Linked DNA regions of Macaca fascicularis. The protein of the gene in region 1 binds, or shares a complex with, the protein of each later gene. Links are inferred from orthologs where the notes say so. Each region holds a gene or a part of one and is shown in the gene's direction. Other genes may lie near its edges. The genes, in order: APOBEC3F and CBFB.

Evidence for each region.
Region 2: the proteins of APOBEC3F (region 1) and CBFB are in contact, whole or in part, in a cryo-EM structure (PDB 6NIL), measured with the Homo sapiens proteins. The link is inferred for Macaca fascicularis from reciprocal best matches to the Homo sapiens genes APOBEC3F and CBFB. Residues at the interface, in NP_660341.2 of Homo sapiens: Glu289, Leu291, Ala292, Arg293, His294, Ser295, Asn296, Glu324; in NP_001746.1 of Homo sapiens: Phe32, Asp34, Arg35, Arg43, Glu54.

Annotation. Positions count from the first base shown.
Region 1 is NC_088384.1:12,617,945-12,626,769, reverse strand, and holds the start of APOBEC3F (DNA dC->dU-editing enzyme APOBEC-3F), read left to right. Parts: upstream 1-382; 5' UTR 383-667; coding exon of another isoform or gene 668-684; intron 685-835; exon of another isoform or gene 836-908; 5' UTR 909-1,038; coding exon 1,039-1,088; intron 1,089-2,661; coding exon 2,662-2,815; intron 2,816-3,807; coding exon of another isoform or gene 3,808-4,119; exon of another isoform or gene 4,120-4,641; intron 4,642-4,690; coding exon 4,691-4,970; intron 4,971-5,177; coding exon 5,178-5,292; intron 5,293-8,825.
Region 2 is NC_088394.1:63,041,004-63,050,399, forward strand, and holds the start of CBFB (core-binding factor subunit beta), read left to right. Parts: upstream 1-3,870; 5' UTR 3,871-4,145; coding exon 4,146-4,223; intron 4,224-4,460; coding exon 4,461-4,547; exon of another isoform or gene 4,548-4,953; intron 4,954-9,396. UniProt on the Homo sapiens protein: Forms the heterodimeric complex core-binding factor (CBF) with RUNX family proteins (RUNX1, RUNX2, and RUNX3).

The DNA of each region.
Region 1 (8,825 bases):
GGGGAAGAAGGAGAAGCAGGAAGGAAAGAGCTCAGTGCGGGGACACACATGGCATCCTGGTGGGACATCTGAGGCCCACACCCACCTGCTGTCCCTCCCTCCCATGGTGGCCTCCGAGTGTGAAGGCCTGGGGGGAGGCAGACGCCATGCCCTTCACTCTTCCTCCCTGTCCCCATGGCTGCTGGGTGGAGACCATCTCTGGGACGACCCCTGAGGGCAGGATCCAGGAGTCCCTGCAGAGGCATTAGCCTGTCTGTCTTGAGGGTGGAGAGGCGGCTCCAGCTGGGCGGGACCACCAGGGGAGGAGCTTGTGCTCTGCTGGCTCAGCCTGGTGTGGACCCACCTCCCAGTCTCTGGCTGCAAAGACTTTCTCTTTCCCTTTGCAGTTTCCTTGGGTCCTGCCACACAGAGCAGCCTGTCTTTATCAGAGATCCCTCTGTCAGGGGGAGGACCCCAGAGAAAAACAGAAAGAGGATGAGAGCCTGAGGAAGATAAAGCATCCCAGGGCCTCCCACTCCAGCGCCAGAGCAGGAAGAGGCAGGGGCCATGACTACGAGACCCTGGGAGGTCACTTTAAGGAGGGCTGTCCTAAAACCAGGAGCCTGTAGCAGAAAGTGAAACCCTCCTGCTCCAGACAAAGATCATAGTCGGGACTGGCCAGCCAAGGATGAAGCCTCAGTTCAGGTACTGCTGCCTGCTCGACCCGCTGGGCCTCTCTGCTGCCCCTTCCTGCCTGGTGGCCCTGCTGGGCCTCAACCTTGGTCCCCCACTCCCCTGCCCCAGCCCTAGCCCTGGGATCCCTCCCTTCTGACTCCCCTGCCCCCGCCACTCCCAGCCAGGCTCTTTGTCCTGCTCTGTGGTCGCCCCACTGCTACTTCTGAATGGGCCGCCTCCTCCACCTGCCCCAGCCCAGGCCCCCTACTGAGACTCTCCCCCAAAAGTCATGGCAGGGCTGGTGCTCCCTGCTCTGGGAGGGTGCTCCCTCTGTGTGCTTCCTGCCATTCCTGAACTCTGGAACTGGGAGAATTGAACCAAAGGATGATGGGAGCAATGTGGAATTTTGTTCACAGAGCTTCGATGGATTTTCTGTAAGATTTACTTTGCTTTAAATACCAAGTCTTAGGAGAGGGTGTGGGGAGGGAATGGTCTCTGAAGCACAAGATAAATCATGTTTTCCAAAGATGTCTCCACTGTGGGCAGAGGAGGATGCAGATGACCCCAAACACACACTCTTCCTCTACGATCAGCATTCACCATTTATAATGACACCAGTAACATGGAATATAGTGACTGGGCACGGTGGCTCAAGCCTGTCATCCCAGCACTTTGGGAAGCTGAGTCAGGCGGATCGCCTGAGGTCGGGAGTTTGAGAGCAGCCTGACAAACATGGATAAACCCTGTCTCTACTAGAAATATATAATTAACCAGGTGCAGTGGCGGGTGCCTGTAATCCCAGCTACTCTGGAGGCTGAGACAGGATAATCGCTTGAACCCAGGAGGTGGAGGTTGCGGTGAGCCGAGATCGTGCCATTGCACTCCAGCCTGGGCAACAAGAGTGAAATTTAGTCTCAAAAGAAAACAAAAGCAAAAACAAAACAAAAAACATGGAATATATGGGGGAAAAAAGCCTCCATGATCAGGAGAAATGCTTTTATTTTAAAATTTAGTAAGAAGAGAGCCCGGTCCCCAGTGACTCCCTCCTGCAGGGCCGGTGATACAGAGACTGGATAGGGCTTGTCTGATAAGAGGCCCAGCCCCATCCATCCCCAGCTCTGTGGCCTGGGCAGGTTACCCCACCTCTCTGCGCCTCTGGCCCCTCCTCTATAAGATGGGAAATGCCCCTGCAGGCCTAGGGCAGCCTCACATGAGTTTAAACCCACGCAGCACTTAGAAGAGTGGCCTGGGCCTCAGAATTCAGTTCTACCGTGATTTAAAAATAGTAATATACTAAGGTGAAATGTCAGGAAGGAACTGGCTGAAAGGTTAAAATCTATGATTTTTTAAAAAAATATTATTATTTAAAAATATTTTTTTTAATCTTTTTTTTTTTTTTTGAGATGAATTTTCACTCTTGTTGCCCAGGCTGGAGTGTAATGGCACGATCTCGGCTCACTATAACCTCTGCCTCCCACGTTCAAGTGATTCTCCTGCCTCAGCCTCCTGAGTGGCTGGGATTACACGCACCCGCCACCAGGCCTGGCTAATTTTTGTGTTTTTCGTAGAGACTGGGTGTCACCATGTTGATGAGACTGGTCTCAGACTCCTGACCTCAATGATCGGCCCACCTCGGCCTCCCAAAAGGCTGGGATTACAGTTATGAGCCATAAAGGCCAGCCAATAACTTTATTCTCTTTTGCATTTTACTAATGCGTTGGAGAGTAGGTGGGAGAAATACCGGGAGGGTGGGGAATGTACCCCTGGAATGACCAGAGCTGGGCCCCGAGCGGGAAGAGGTCACCCCGGTCCTGCCGCCCCTGCCAGCACCCCCTTTTCTTGCTCTCTCCCCGGTCTTCCTGCCTGGGAAGGAAGCAGAAATTCTCAGGGCTGTGGAGAGATGGGGGAGGCCCAGAGCCGTCCAGGGAACTGTGTTTAGCGGACATCAGTGCGGAGGGCTCCTGGGAGCGCTCTCTGCATTGGCTGGTTTCTCTCTTGTGTCTTCAGAAACACAGTGGAGCGAATGTATCGAGGCACATTCTTCTACAACTTTAATAACAGACCCATCCTTTCTCGTCGGAATACCGTCTGGCTGTGCTACGAAGTGAAAACAAGGGGCCCCTCAGTGCCCACTTGGGGCACAAAGATCTTTCGAGGCCAGGTACCACCCAGACTCCAATCACTTTACAGGCAGGAGCTAAGCCAGCTGGGAAAGCAAACCACGTACTGACGAGTGAAATGCCCGGCGGCGGCCTGTCCAGGGTGTCGTTCTCTCCCACACTTTCCAAGTCCGTGGCCCTGACCTTCCCGCTGGACCATCCTGGGATCGGATCGTGGAGGGGGTTTGCCTCTGCACAAAAGGCCTTGTTTTTTTTTGTTTTTGTTTTTTTTTGAGACAGAGTTTCTCTCTTGTTGCTCAGGCTGGAGTGCAATGACGCAATCTCAGCTCACTGCAACCTCTGACTCCTGGGTTCAAGCGATTCTGTTGCCTCAGACTCCCGAGTAGCTGGGATTACAGGTGCCCACCACCATGTGTGGGTAATTTTTTTTTTTTTTTTTGTATCATTAGTAGAGACCGGATTTTACCATGTTGGCCAGGTTGGTCTTGAACTCCAGACCTCAGGTGATCCACCTGCCTCGGCCTCCCAAAGTGTTGGGATTACAGGTGTGAGCCACAGTGCCGGCCTATTTTTAATATTTTATTCAATCCAATGTCGCTAACATTACTTCAAGATTATTTAACATAAAATTCTTGACAAGATAGTGAAGTTTCTTTTTCTTGTCATGCTGAGTCTTTGAAATGAGCCGTGTAAGCCATGCTAGTGGGGTGGCTGGCGCCTGTATCCCAGCACTTTCGGAGGCTGAGGCCAGTGGATCACCTGAGGTCAGATGTTCGAAAACCAGCATGGCCAACATGGTGAAATCCCATCTCTACTAAAAATACAAAAAAATTAGCCAAGCGTGGTGGCAGTCACCTGTAATCCCAGCTACTTGGGAGGCTGAGGCAGGAGAATCGCTTGAACCCATGAGGCAGAGGTTATGGTGAGTTGAGATTGCATCATTGCACTCCAGCCTGGGCAACAAGAGTGAAACCATGTCTCAACAACAACAACAACAAAAAGAGAAATGAGCGGTGTATAATGTATTTTTCAGGTGCCCAGGTCTCTCATCAGAGCCCCATTTCAAGTGCTCAGTAACCCCCTTGCCCAGTGCCCCCCACCACATGGGAGAGCACAAGTCCAGTGGCTTCTCCAGGAGATGGCAGGGAGGGAACAAGGCAGACCCCAGAGGGCCAGGCCACAGCAGGGGCTGAGGATGCCTGGTGAATGGATGCCTGGGAGAATGGATGCCAGAATTCACGCACGAGGCCGTGAACAGGGCTGGGAAAACTCCCAAAAAAAGGGAAGCACGTGTCTTGGTGCACCTTGTGATGCTTCAACAGCAGGACTGAGACGGAGACATTGACAATGAATAGAAATGTGCTGGCTCGAGTTCTGGACGCTGGGAAATCCACTGTCAAGGCACCAGCGACTTTCCAGGGCCTGCGAGCTGCACAGTCACGTGGGGGTGAAGGTTGTTGCCAGAAGGTCGGGGATGCTCCAGCCAGAGTGGCCTGGGATGTCGGGTCACTGCTGCTCCATGCCACGGGGACAAGAGGAAGCAGGAGTTTAATCTTACACACTGCCCCTCCAGCTAGTGGGCAAGAGACAGAAAGTGGGGCTAAAGTCGCCCTTGAATAACCACAGCAGTGGCACCCACAAAGGTGGAGTCCCCACAACCTCATAGCCGCTTGTATGTGCCACCTCTTAATGGTTAATGGTAATGGTTATGGTTAAGGCCATTACCATAGCAATTAACACTGAGCATGAGCTTTGGAGCAGACAATCACTCAAACTAATCAGGGGGATGGAGGAAAGGAGCTTCAGTGGCAAGATCCCCTGGACTCCTGTCCTGGCCCCTCCTCCCACTGCCCCAACCCTGCCCTCTCCTCCTGCTCCCCCTCTCAGAGCATCCCCTGCCCCTGCTCCTCTCCCAGGTGTATTCCAAGCCTGAGCACCACGCAGAAATGTGCTTCCTCTCTCGGTTCTGTGGCAACCAGCTGCCTGCTTACAAGCGCTTCCAGATCACCTGGTTTGTATCCTGGACCCCCTGCCCAGACTGTGTGGCGAAGGTGGCCGAATTCCTAGCTGAGCACCCTAATGTCACCCTGACCATCTCTGCCGCCCGCCTCTACTACTACTGGGAAACAGATTATCGCAGGGCGCTCTGCAGGCTGCGTCAGGCAGGGGCCCGAGTGAAGATCATGGACTATGAAGGTGAGAGGAGGAGGGGTCAGGGGAGTGTGAGTGGGTGGAACAGCATGAGAGATGGATGGATCTGCAATGCCATGGCTGGGGGCGTCCCAGGGCAACCTACAGGGGCAGGGCCAGGGCTGACCACAACTGACCACCAGGAGAGCAGGCCTGGGAGGGCAGGACCAGGGTCAGGGGAGAGCCTGACTGCTTCCTGCCTCTTCATGTCAGAATTTGCATACTGCTGGGAAAACTTTGTGTACAATGAAGGTCAGTCATTCATGCCTTGGGACAAATTCGATGACAATTATGCATTCCTGCACCACAAGCTAAAGGAGATTCTCAGGTGAGGGTCTCCCTCTGGCCTCATGGTCTCTCTCCTCTCACCTCCTGCTCATCCTCCTGAGGCCTCCCCTGGCCAGGCCCTCCTGCCCTCCCTTCTGCCCCCTGCCTGCCCTCATAGTTACACCCCCTCACCCCAACTCCTCGTGTTTCCTCCACCTCCCTGCCTCCTCCCTGCTTTCCTGGGCCCCTCCTGTGAGTGAGAGGCCCCTTCGGCCTCCAGAGCGACCTCCATCCACCCCCGAGGCCGCCCTCCCCACAGCCTGGGATCCCCAACCTGGCTCCTTCCATCTCCCTGGCATAACCGAATTTGTCATAACACTGGACGTAAGTGGGCGTGAATATTCACAAGCTCGACAGCCAGAAGCTTTGAGCAACATCCTTCAAGGCTGACCTGAGCCCTTGAGAAGGAGCCGCCACTGTGGGAACAGAGCTTCAGGCTTCGGCTGCCGTAGAAGATGGCCTGGGCCGGGTGCCCACAGGGCCGGCATTTATTTTCTCACAGATCTGGAGGCTGCAAGTCCAGGGTGGAGGGGTGGGCGGGGCTGTGTCCTCTGCGGCCGCTCCTCCTGGCCCTGTCCTCTCTGGCCGTTCCTCTGTGCACCTGCAACCCTAGGGTCTATCTGCCTCTAAATGTCCTCCTTGTTTATGGTCCCCAGTCAGACAGGATTAGGGCCCACCCTAAGGACGATGAGTTAATTTAACCACCACTTTAGTGGACCTGTCTCCAAATACAGTTATCCTGTGAGGAGGTGGGATGAGGACTTCAACATATCAATGTTGGGAAGATACAATTTAGCCCATGACAACGACCCAGGGGGCTTTGGGTCAAGCTTGGGTGGTGTATGCAGGGATCTCCGTTCTGTGTGTCTGTCTCCCAGGAGTCCTGTCCTGACCCTCACAGCCCCTCCCTTCAGACCTTGCTGCACCCTGGGCCGCACCCCATGGCTTCCCCACCCAACAGCACGCAGCCCGGCCTCCTGCTCACACCCGTCACTTCTCAAATCCTCCCCACAGGATGGAGATGCAGAAAGAGCCAAACACTCAGTGATCAAGGTCCCATGTGAATAAATTTTTTTTTTTTTTTTTTTGAGACAGCCTCTCCCTCAGTCGCCCAGGCTGGAGTGCTGTGGTGCGATCTCGGCTCACTGCAACCTCTGCTTCCCAGGTTCTAGCAATTCTCTTGTCTCAACCTCCCAAGTACCTGGGATTACAAGCACATGTCACCACACTGGCTAATATTTGTATCTTTAGTAGAGATGGGGTTTTGCAGTGTTGGCCAGGTGTTGAGTGAGATTTTACAAAAGCGTAGGCTTGGATAACGGGAGGCTTGAGATGCCAGGAACCTTCCAGGAAGCACAATAGAAAAAGGCAACCAGGGACCAGACAGGCCATAGAAAGAGATCATCTAAGGCCCTTGGGAGAGACGGGAACTAAGCACCTGGGTCTTAGACCGGAAGAGCAAACTGCAAGACAGGGTGGCCAGGGACACCAAGCTCTGCCCTTTCATCACATATAGACAGGAGCTCAGCCAGCCAGGGAACAACTCTAGGCAGGAGATGTGGAAGGAAGGAGCTCAGTGTGGGGGTACGCATGACATCCTGGTGGGACACCTGAGGCCCCCCCACCAGCTATTCCTCCCTCCAATGGTGGCCTTTGAGTGTGAGGGTATGGGGGGAGGCAGACACCTGCCCCTCACTCTCCCTCCCTACCACATAGCTGCTGGGTGGGGGGCGTCCCTGGGATGATTCCTGAGGGCAGGATCCAGGGGTCTCTCTGGAGGTCCTCCCATCCAGGTGAGAAAGCAGCCTGAAGTGAGGCCGGCACTCAGATGGGCCTGGGAGGTCACTCACAGCGCAGGTGCCTCCTGGAACAAGGGCCCTGGAAGATAGAAATAGAACCCAAGCCCAGGACTAACATCAGGGCCAGGACAAGCCTGCCAAGGAGGCTGCATGTGAAGCCCCAGATCAGGGACCACTGTGCGCTCTGCCCGCGGGGCCTCTGCTGCCCCTTCCTGCCTGGTGGCCCTGCTGGGCCTCAGCCCTGGCCTCCCCCTGCCCCAGCCCCAGCCCTAGGCTCTCTGCCCTCTGCTCTCTGCCCTCTTCTCTTTTGCTCCCACTCCCAGCCAGGCTCTTTGCCCTGCTATGTGGTCACCGGTCTGCAGCTTCTGAATGGGCCGCCTCCCCAACCTGCCCCAGCCCAGGCCCCCTGCTCAGACTCTCCCCAGAAAATCACCACTGGGCTGGTGCTCCCCACCCTGGGAGGGTGCTCCCTCTGTGTGCTTCCCACCATTCCTGAGCTCTGGAACTGGGAGAATTGAACCAAAGGATGATTGGAGCAATCCGGCATTTTGTTCTCAGCACTTTGATGAAATTTCTGTAATATTTACTTTGTTTCAACACAAAGTCTTAGGAGAGGGTGTGGGGGAGGGAATGGTCTCTGTACCAGAAAATATGTCATTTCTTCCAAAGATGCCTCCAGTGTGAGCAGAGGAGGATGCACATGACCCCAGACACAGGCTCCTCCTCCGTAAGCACCATTCACCTTTTAGAATGACACATGTAACCTGGAATGTAGGAAAAAATATGATGATCAGGAGTAATGCTCTTATTTTAAAGTTTAGTAAGAAGAGAACCCGGTTCCCGACAGCTCCCTGCTACAGGGCCTGTGATGCAGAGGCTGGACAGGACTGGCATGGAAAGGGGCCCCAGCTCCATCCATCCCCAGCTCTGTGACCTGGGCAGGTTACCCTACCTCTCTGTGCCTCTGGCACTTCTGTAAAATAGGATGGCCCCTGCAGGCCTCAGGGACGTGCCATGAGCTCAGACATATGCAGCACTTACGAGAGTGGCCTGGACCTGCCAGGCACAGTGGCTTACGCCTGTCATCCCAGAACTTTGGGAGGCTGAGGTGGGCAGATCACGAGTTCAGGAGTTCAAGACCAGCCTGGCCAACATGATGAAAACCGGTTGCTACTAAACATACAAAAACTAGTGCTGGGCACGGTGGCTCACGCTTCTAATCCCAGCACTTTCGGAGGCCGAGGTGGGCAGATCACAAGGTCAGCAGTTCAAGACCATCCTGGCTAACATGGTAAAGCCCTATCTCTACTAAAAATTAAAAAAGTTGCCTGTAATCCCAGCACTTTGGGAGGCCGAGATGGGTGGATCACGAGGTCAGGAGATCGAGACCATCCCGGCTAACACGGTGAAACCCCATCTCTACTAAAAAAAAATACAAAAAAATTAGCCGGGCGAGGTGGCGGGCGCCTGTAGTCCCAGCTACTGGGAGGCTGAGGCGGGAGAATGGCGTGAACCCGGGAGGCGGAGCTTGCAGTGAGCCGAGATCGCGCCACTCCTCTCCAGCCTGGTGAAAGAGTGAGACCCCATATAAAAATAAATAAATAAAAATACAAAAATCAGCCAAGCGTGGTGACACAAGTCTGTAATCCCAGCTACTCAGGAGGCTGAGGTGGGAGAATCACTTCAACATGGGAGGTGCGGTGCAGTTTGCAGTGAGCCGAGATCGCACCACTGC
Region 2 (9,396 bases), on another chromosome or scaffold:
GGCCCATTGTCTTCTAAAAACTAGAAGCTGAGTGGAGCCAGGCTTTTAGGCAATGTGCCAGCCACTAATTTTCCTTGTCTCCCACTCCTCTCAAGTCTCATTTGTGGCTCCAGATCCTATTTCAACTTCAAGATGGTACAATATTTTCTCAGTAACTGAAGGGAAACTATTTCCTTAGAAAAAACGCATCAGAGGCTCAGAGACCTCCTCTGTGAGGAGAGGCAAAGATGGGTGGCTGCTGACACCAGTCCTGGATAAAACCATCCTTCCTGCTGGGCCTGTGGAGGCAGGACATCTAGATTTCGATCTTCCAAGTCAAGAAGGGACAAACAGGCTCAGAGGTAGGAATGCACAGCCCTCAAGGGCAGACCCACATCTTGCCACAAGGCCCACAATAGAACCCCTTTCTTCAACCTGTGGGAACCCTTCTAGAACATGTTGGGGTGCTCCCAGAGGAATAACCCCAGACATAGCCTTCTACGAGTGTGCAGTTCAGTGAGGGTGGCAGGCAGGACTTTTGGTATCTCCACTAGGTCTCAGAGTAGAATGATTAAAATCACCACCATGGGGTCACTTAGCACCTGTGAATCTCAGTTGGCCCATCTGTAGAATAGGATCAATAATACTAAACTTATAGGAAGGAATGAAGATGATGTATCCCAATGCTTAGCTAGTTTCTTTAGAGTTGGTAGGGGGTCTCACTCTGTTGTCTGGATGGTCTCGAACTCCTGGCCTCAAGTGATCCTCCCACTTCTGCTTCCCAAAGTGCTGAGATTACAGGTATGCACTCTCTCTCAAAAAAAAAAAAAAAAAAAAAAAGAGAAAGTACAAAAGGACAGTGACGAGACCCTGATCCATTTGAAATAACAAAATGGAGGCTGGCCACCGCTCCTGGCCTTATTTACTTTTTCAAAGTCTGTTTCCTCATCTCTCAGATGGAGACATGAGACCTGACTTAGAAGATGGTTGTGTGGGCCAGGTGCAGTGACTCACGCCTATAATCCCAGCACTTTGGGAGGCTGAGGCGGGCAGATCGCCTGAGGTTAGGAGTTCGGGACTAGCCTGTCCTTCTCTACTAAAAATACAAAAATTAGCTGGGCGTGGTGGCAGGCGCCTGTAATCCCAGCTACTCAGGAAGCTGAGGCAGGAGAATCAGTTGAACCTGAGAGGCGGAGGTTGCAGTGAGCCAAGATCGCACCATTATACTCCAGCCTGGGCAACAGAGTAAGACTCTGTCTCAAAAAAAGAAAAAAAAAAAGGAGGTGGTTGTGTGAACTAACTGAGATAAGGTGCATGAAGGCACCCTGAACAGAGCTTCACAGTTGCACTAGGCAAGTGAAGGTTCCTGCACTCTGCTCAGCTTCATTGTGTATTATCTATTTACCCACCTAAGATCAGCTTTAGGAGTCTGCAGGAGCAGGCACCCACCTAGGAAGTTAGGGAGGTACTCAGAGAAGACCCTTGGTTGGCTTGAATCCTTACAAAAGGAAGATTCCAGATGATAGGACTTCAGATAATTCAGTCAGGTTTTGGGACGGTGGGGGCAGATGTTTCTTGGCACAGAAGAGACACCTGCAAGCTTCCATGTGTGGGCCTTAGTAGAGCTGGATCTTAGCAAACCCCCTTAGCAAACACCCATAGCATAGTGTCTGGGCTAACCCATACCCAACTCAACAGCTGCCAAAGCTGTTAGAAGCACAGACTTAAGTGTACCTTACATGGGTGAAAGTTTCCTTTATAAATTTCCTTTAATTCAGTTTTTTAAAAGAAGTGAAAAAAATTTAAACCACCACCAAAAAGGCATATAGAGGTTAGCTGAGGAGATGGCCTTCTTCAGTATGTGGCTTATTTCCCAGTCATCCTGGCTGTTGAATGCCAGACTACACCGAGTGTGGGTTACCCTGTGGCCTGCAGTTGCCCAAGGCTGTCTGTGGGGCTGCTGTTCTGGGTCTGCTTGGCAGGCTTTGCTGTCCCTTTCCCTTAGGACATCATTCCTCCCCTCCATGAGGCTGACAATGAGAGCGCCCTGCCCTGCTCTGTACTCCCACCCCTCCAGGTCCAGCTCCCTTGACCCTGACCTTGTCTAAGCTCATAGTGTCTGTCTGGCCATCAAGGCCATTCTAGAGATCTTTCAACTTTTATTTATTCCACATTTCCCATGGCAGAAACAATTATTGCTGGAGTCTTTGGCCAAGATCAACTTGGAGGTCTGTGAGCCCTCCTTGGACCCATTGTGGAACAAGAGTGCTTCTTCATGGAGTTTTCTTCCCCCCCCCCCCCCCCCCCCCCCCGAGACGGGGTTATGCTCTTGTCACCCAGGCTGGAGTGCAATGGCACGATCTTGTCTCACTGCAACCTCTGCCTCCCAGGTTCAACCCATCCTCCTGCCTCAGCTTCTCGAGTAGCTGTTTGAGATGGAGTCTTGCTCTGTGGCCCAGGCTGGAGTGCAGTGGCACCATCTCGGCTACTACAACCTCCACCTCCCGGGGTCAGGCGATTCTCCTGCCTCAGCCTCCTCAGTAGCTGAGACTACAGGCGTGTGCCACCACACCTGGCTAATTTTTGTACTTTTAGTAGAGATGGGGTTTTGCCATGTTGACCAGGCTGGCCTCAAGCTCCTGATCTCAGGTGATCAGCCCGCCTCGGCCTCCCAAAGTGCTAGGATTAGGCCAGGCGCAGAGGCTCACGCCTGTAATCCCAGCACTTTGGGAGGCCGAGGCGGGCAGATCATCTGAGGTCAGTAGTTCCAGACCAGTCTGACTAACACGACGAAACCCCTTCTCTACTAAAAATGCAAAAAAATTTAGCCGGGGATGGTGGTGGGCCCCTGTAATTCCAACCATTCGGGAGGCAGAGGCAGGAGAATCACTTGAACCCAGGAGGCAGAGGTTGCAGTGAACCGAGATCACGCCATCGCACTCCAGCCTGGGCGACAGAGCAAGACTCTGTTTAAAAAAAAAAAAAAAAAAAAAAAAGGCTGGGATTACTGGTATAAGCCACCGCGCCCGGCCACAGGACTAACTTTGAATGAAACTCTGCCATAAATCCCATGTCAGACTTTCTCCAGTTTGGGCTAAACGACTTCCCTAGAACTTATGGATCTTATTTTTTTTGCAGCTGATTGCACACTGAGTAAGACTGGCAATCGGTTACATTCTTAACGCAGCTTGTTCTTCTTTAGAAACTTAAATTTATTGGGCTCCCACTGTGTGCTAGACCCACATAACAGTTCTCACGCTAACACTGCAAACTTAGGAGTGTCTGCATTTTGGAAATAAGGAAACTGAGGTTTAGTGGTCCAGTTCTTGTCTAAGGCCCCAGCCAGCAGGTAGTGTAGCTGAGTGGGATCCCATCTAAGACCCATCTGACTCCAACAGCCACGACCTTTCCACCATGCCTTGGTTGGATTCTTCGGTCCATTTCCACCTCAGTCTTCAACGTGCACAGCCTACACCCCTACCGGTCGGTTTAGGGACGAAAAGTCCCCAAGGACTTAGGTTTCCTCGCGTTCAAATGACAATCTGGGGTTACTCCGCGCACCTGGGGAACCCAGAAGTTCCAGATGGCCGAGGAAGGGCGGAAGAAAAGGCCTGCGTTAGCTACTCCCGTCTGCTAAAAGGCAGGCGGATCCCCCCACGGCAGCTCCACGCCGAGTGATCGCGGGCGAGCAGCGGGAAAAGGGCAGCGCTGCGGAAAGAGCCCCGGGGCGCCACAGCCCCGCTGCTTAGCCAGCGGGCGGGTGGCGCATGCGCGGCGCGGGCCGCGGAGTTGTGAATGGTGCGTCTTGTTTGCTGGAGTTGGAGGCGGGCGGGCTCGCAAGGAGGAGGGGTGGGGCCGCCGGGGGCGGGGTGGGCGGTGAGAGGAAGTGGCGGCGGCGGCGGCGGCCGGGGGCGGCGAGAGCTGGGGCTGCGCGGGCGGCAGGCAACGGCTGAGGCGGCGGCGGCGGCGGCGTGGGTTGGGTTCGAGCGGGCAGCTGCGCCTCCGACTCCTCGGAACGGGAGCCCACGCGGGCGGGCGCCTGAAACAAAGGGAAGCGGGCGTCCGGGCGCCGCGGGTGGGCGGTCAGTCGGTCAGCGCGGAGCCAGCCAGCGGGTGCCCGCGCAAGCCCCGAGCGCGGCTGGCCGGCGCGGCCTCAGGGCGGGAAGATGCCGCGCGTCGTGCCCGACCAGAGAAGCAAGTTCGAGAACGAGGAGTTCTTTAGGAAGCTGAGCCGCGAGTGTGAGGTGAGGCGGGCGGGCGGCTAGGAGGCCGCAGCGCGCCCCGAGTGGGCCCGGGCGAAGAAAAGTTTGGGCGGCGCGGTCCCCGGGAGTCCCGGTCGGCGCGCCTGCGGAGGGGCAATCTCGCCTGGGCGGCCGTCGCCCGCAGCCTCTGCTTGCCTTTATCGGCGCCGCGCTGGGAGGGCGGGCGCGCGGGCGGCGCCGCGGATTTGGCTCCTGATTTCGGGCCGTCTTGCCTTGCAGATTAAGTACACGGGCTTCAGGGACCGGCCCCACGAGGAGCGCCAGGCGCGCTTCCAGAACGCCTGCCGCGACGGCCGCTCGGAAATCGTAAGTCGGCGGGCCCGGGGCGCAGACAGGGGCGCGCGCGGGTCACTTGTTGCGCCGGGCGGCCGCGGCCCAGGCCGGTTCCGGACGGCGGCGCGGCTGCCGCGGCTCCCGGAACTGAGCGGGCGCCGTCTCACTTCCTACTCGGGTTTCAAAATGCGAAACCAGACGCCGCGGGCCGGTGCTCGCGAGGAGACGCTTTCCCTGGGGCCCGCCGCGGTGGCGCGTGTCGGCCAATGGAGCACCGCGAGTGGGGCTCGAACCCGAGCCAGACTAAACAAGTGAAGGGCATTGTTTAGGCGGCTACACCAAGGAAGGGTTCAGGGTATTTGTGGCAAGCAAGCAAACCCCCATTCGGAAAAACAACCGGAGCTTCATTCAAGGTCGGCGATAGTTTGTTTCTTAAAAGGTGAGCTCTCGGTGATTCTCTGTCAAGCGGTCTCACTCCCAGATCGCCGAGAAGAAATCTTTTCTCCAGTTATGTATTGTCCTAATAGAGAGGAAACGGGGGGGAAAGGCCTTAAAAGTGTCATTTTCTTAGAATGTTAAGCTTCAGGAGAATCAGAAATAAACCATTATCCACATGTCTCGAGTAGGGCTGCCGTTCCTAAAATGCACAGATGGGCGAAACTCACGGTTGATCTCGAGGTCCTCGTTTTAGGAGGCAGATTTGGTGTGTCTTCACCAGATCTTGGGTTGAAGAAAAAAATTCAAGGGTCCTAGTTCCTCTCATCTCCTTTTGGTTTGCCTTGTTGGAGGTGCTGATGAGGAGAGAATGGTAGGAAGAAACCGAGAAAAGAGGTTGATTATTATTTTTTTGAGGTAGAGTCTTGCTCTGTTGCCCAGACTGGAGTACAGTGGCTCGATCTCCACTCACTGCAACCTCCGCCTCCTGGGTTCAAGCGATTTTCGTGCCTCAGCCTCCTGAGTAGCTAGGATTACAGGTGCCTGCCACCACGCCCGGCTAATTTTTGTATTTTCAGTAGAGACGGGGTTTCACCATGTTGGCCAAGCTGGCCTCCTGACCTCAAGTGATCCATCCTCCTCGACCTTCCAGAGTGTTAGGATTACAGGCGTGAGCCACTGCGTCCGGCCTGATTATTTTTTAAAAAGTTAAAGCGCTGTCTAATGGAATGCTGTTACTATCTGCTGGGTGACTTGGACCTATTGCATTGTCAGAGGCTTGAAGTTAGATGCGATTTGAATTTGGGTTAATAGTAGGAAGACATATTGGAAATTTACTCCTCCCACCCCCTTTATAAAACCAGTTTATTTTTATTCAGATATAATTCTTATGCCATAAAACTCTTCCTTTTCATCACTGAACTCAAATTTAATTTTAAAGAATATCTTGATATTTTAAGTGAAGGCTTTTTAGAATTGTAATAGAAGATACTGGTTAAATTTATAGGAGCTCGTGAATATTTGGTCATTAGTGCATGTTATGAAAGACAGTCTCAAGCTTTTAGCCCACTTGCAAGTTTCTTGAGTAATTGTATTATTTATATGATTGAAGTGCATAAGACATGCTTTTAGATTTTGTCACTGAGTGGTATAAGAAAATAATTCATTAGCTGGTGCGATGATCGTGTCATCCTTTGCCTGGGTTACCTTTTGCAAAAGGAAGGTGGTACACTTGAGGATAGAATTTCCTGGAGGTAAAGGATGCAAGTATAAAAGATAAGATACAAAGTATTTGTACTGTCAATGTTTGCTTTTTTGTTTGTTTTGAGATGGAGTCCCGCTCTATTACCCAGGCTGCAGTGCAGCAGCATGATGTAGTCTTGGCTCGCTACAACCTTTGCCTCCCAGGTTCAAGCGATTCTCCTGCCTCAACCTCCTGAGTAGCTGGGATTAGAGGCACACACCACCACGCCCAGCTAATTTTTTTGTATTTTTAGTAGAGACAGGGTTTCACCATGTTGGCCAGGCTGGTTTTGAACTCCTGACCTTAAATGATCCTCCCACTTCGGCCTTCCAAAGTGCTGGGATTACAAGTGTGAGCCACCGCGCCCGGCCTTGTTTTGTTTTGTTTTTTTTTAAGAGAGAGGTCTTGCTGTGTGGCCTAGGCTGGGGTGCAGTGGCTGTTCACAGACATAATCATAAGGCACTACAGCCTCAAACTTCTGGGCTCAAGCGATCCTCTTGTCTCAGCCTCCCAATAGCTGGGACTACCAGGCTCGGTGTCACCATACGCCGCCCCATGTATTATATTATTATCACTATTTTTGAAAGCTGAATTTTTTTGGAATGGTGAATCATAGCTAGTAGGGTGTTTTCTGTCATTTCAGACTTTGCTGAATGGAATTATGAATTCAACCCATGGGATATCTGAAATGCCGTAATATTATAGTAGTGTTATAGGTGGTTAGTGTTTGTCTTAAATTTCTTTCCAGGATGAATTAGACATTCTAGACTTTTCCTGCTTCCAAATATCTGATCCTCACCTGAGCCTGGGAGATCGAGGCTGCAGTGAGCCATAATCACACCACTGCACTCCAGCCTAGGTGACAGAGTGAGACCCTGTCTCCAAAAATAAAACAAATGTCTGATCCGACACATTTTATAAGTTTTAAATTTCTGAAAAGTATTAAAGGTTAAAGAAGGTAGATTGAATGCTGTGTGAGGTTTGCACTTAAGACGACACAGGTCTTATTTTGTTAAGTAATGTAACTATTGGTATTTGGAGAGGAATTTCACATTTCCTAGTTTTTTCTCTTTCTAGTTTCCCTCCTTTAATTTAGTGTTAACCCACATTTAATTACAGGATCCTTAGCTCCTAGAGGGTGGAGACCTTATTAATTCTGTATAAACCCCTCTGGATACAGGTATTTTGCACAATACCATAGGTACTTGATTATTTGAATTTAGAGGCTAGTTAATTTAATGCCTGAAATTTATCTTATTACTTATGAATAGGCCATGGTTTCTTTCTATTTGGCTGTGGAAAAAGGCATTATTTTGCCTGTTTTGACAGCAGCCATAAATGGCAAGAATATCCACAGTTCTCAAAACTATTCCCATTTGCATTTAGATGTGAAATAATTTAAGGATGTGTTGATCATCTCTAACTATAAAAATCAGCCCCCTTATTTTATGCCAATTGAGTTTTTAACTGTAAAACCTAATCAGCATTAAATAAAAGTGAACACCAGTAGAAGAATCTGTGGTAGAATCTGATTTATTCTTTTTTTGAGACTGGATCTCACTCTGTCACCCAGGCTGGAGTGCAGTGGTGCCATTTCCGTTCGCTGCAACCTCCGCCTCCTGCTTCCGCCTCCCGACTAGCTGGGATTATAGGTGCCTGCCATCATGCCTGTCTGGTTTTTGTATTTTTAGTAGAGATGGGTTTCACTGTGTTGGCCAGGCTGGTCTCCAACTCCTGGCCTCAAGTGATCTGCCTGCTTCCGTGAGCCACTGCACCCAGCTTTGATTTATTCTTACGAATTTTTTTTTTTTTTTTTTTTGAGTTGGAGTCTCGTTCTGTTGCCCTGGCTGGAGTGCAGTGGCCCTATCTCAGCTCACTGCAAGCTCCGCCTCCTGGGTTCACATCATTCTCCCGCCTCAGCCTCCCGAGTAGCTGGGACTACAGGCGCCTGCCACCGCGCCTGGCTAATTTTGTTTTTGTATTTTTAGTAGAGACAGGGTTTCACGGTTTTTTGTTTTTTTTGTTTTTGTTTTTTTTTGAGACGGTGTCTCATACTGTCGGCTAGGCTGCAGTGCAATGGCAAGATCTTGGCTCACTGCAACCTCCGCCTCCTGGGTTCTCACGATTCTCCTGCCTCAGCCTCACGAGTAGCTGGAATTACAGGCGCACACCACCACACCCAGCTAATTTTTTGTATTTTTAGTAGAGATGGGGTTTCACTACGTTGGCCAGACTGGTGTCGAGCTTCTGATCGCGTGATCTGCCTGCCTTGGCTTCCCAAAGTGCTGGGATTACAGGCTTGAGCCACCGTACCTGGCCTATGCTTACCAATTATGTAGTAAGAGTGTTGGAGATGTCTTCAGCACTAATAATCAATTAAAGAAAAAATATTTATGAGAAGTATGGTTACTCTATGGTGAGAAGAGTAAAAACTAATACATATTTCTAATTCTGAAGAATGAATGGTAAAAAGTATGTTGGATTGTCTCAAGGTGTGCTATTTTATAATTTGTGAAACCTATAAAACATAAGACAACCTGGAAATCTTAAATATAGGCGTCATACCAGTGTAGCATTTTAATGTTTTCATTTTGTTTCTTTTTTTCTTTATTTTCCTATGACAATATATTAATATTTTGGAACAATATATTAATATTTTGGAACAGACTTTTTCCAACTCTTACGTATATATAGGTATCTCATTAAAAGAGTTCTATGGTCAGATAAGTTTGGAAAATGCTTTTCTAGAATGATCTGTGTTTACCACTTCTGTCTCAGAGAGCGATCTTTATGAGATAATGGACATATAGTGATGAAGCAGGAAATCTCTTCTGAGGTTGGCATCAAGACAGGAGATGAGGTAATACGATCTGCAGAGTGTCTTGGCACAGAGCTGATTTGGGGTACACTGGAGGTGGAAGGATTTGCTACTGAAGAAGCACACCACAGGGATTTTGACACAGGGCATTCATTCATGTGCTGAGTCTCTTTTCTGCCACCACTCTGCTCTGAGAATTTCATTATCTGAAGCTGAAAAAGTTGACTTTCTTGTTGAACTTAAAGTTATTTCTCATATCATTCAGCAAACACTTTCGTAACATTTACTTGGTACTGTTTTAAGCACTTTACAAATAATTAATTTGTGAGGAAACTGAGGTATGCTTCAGGTCATACAGCCTGGGCAGTTTCCCTCCCAGAAACTCC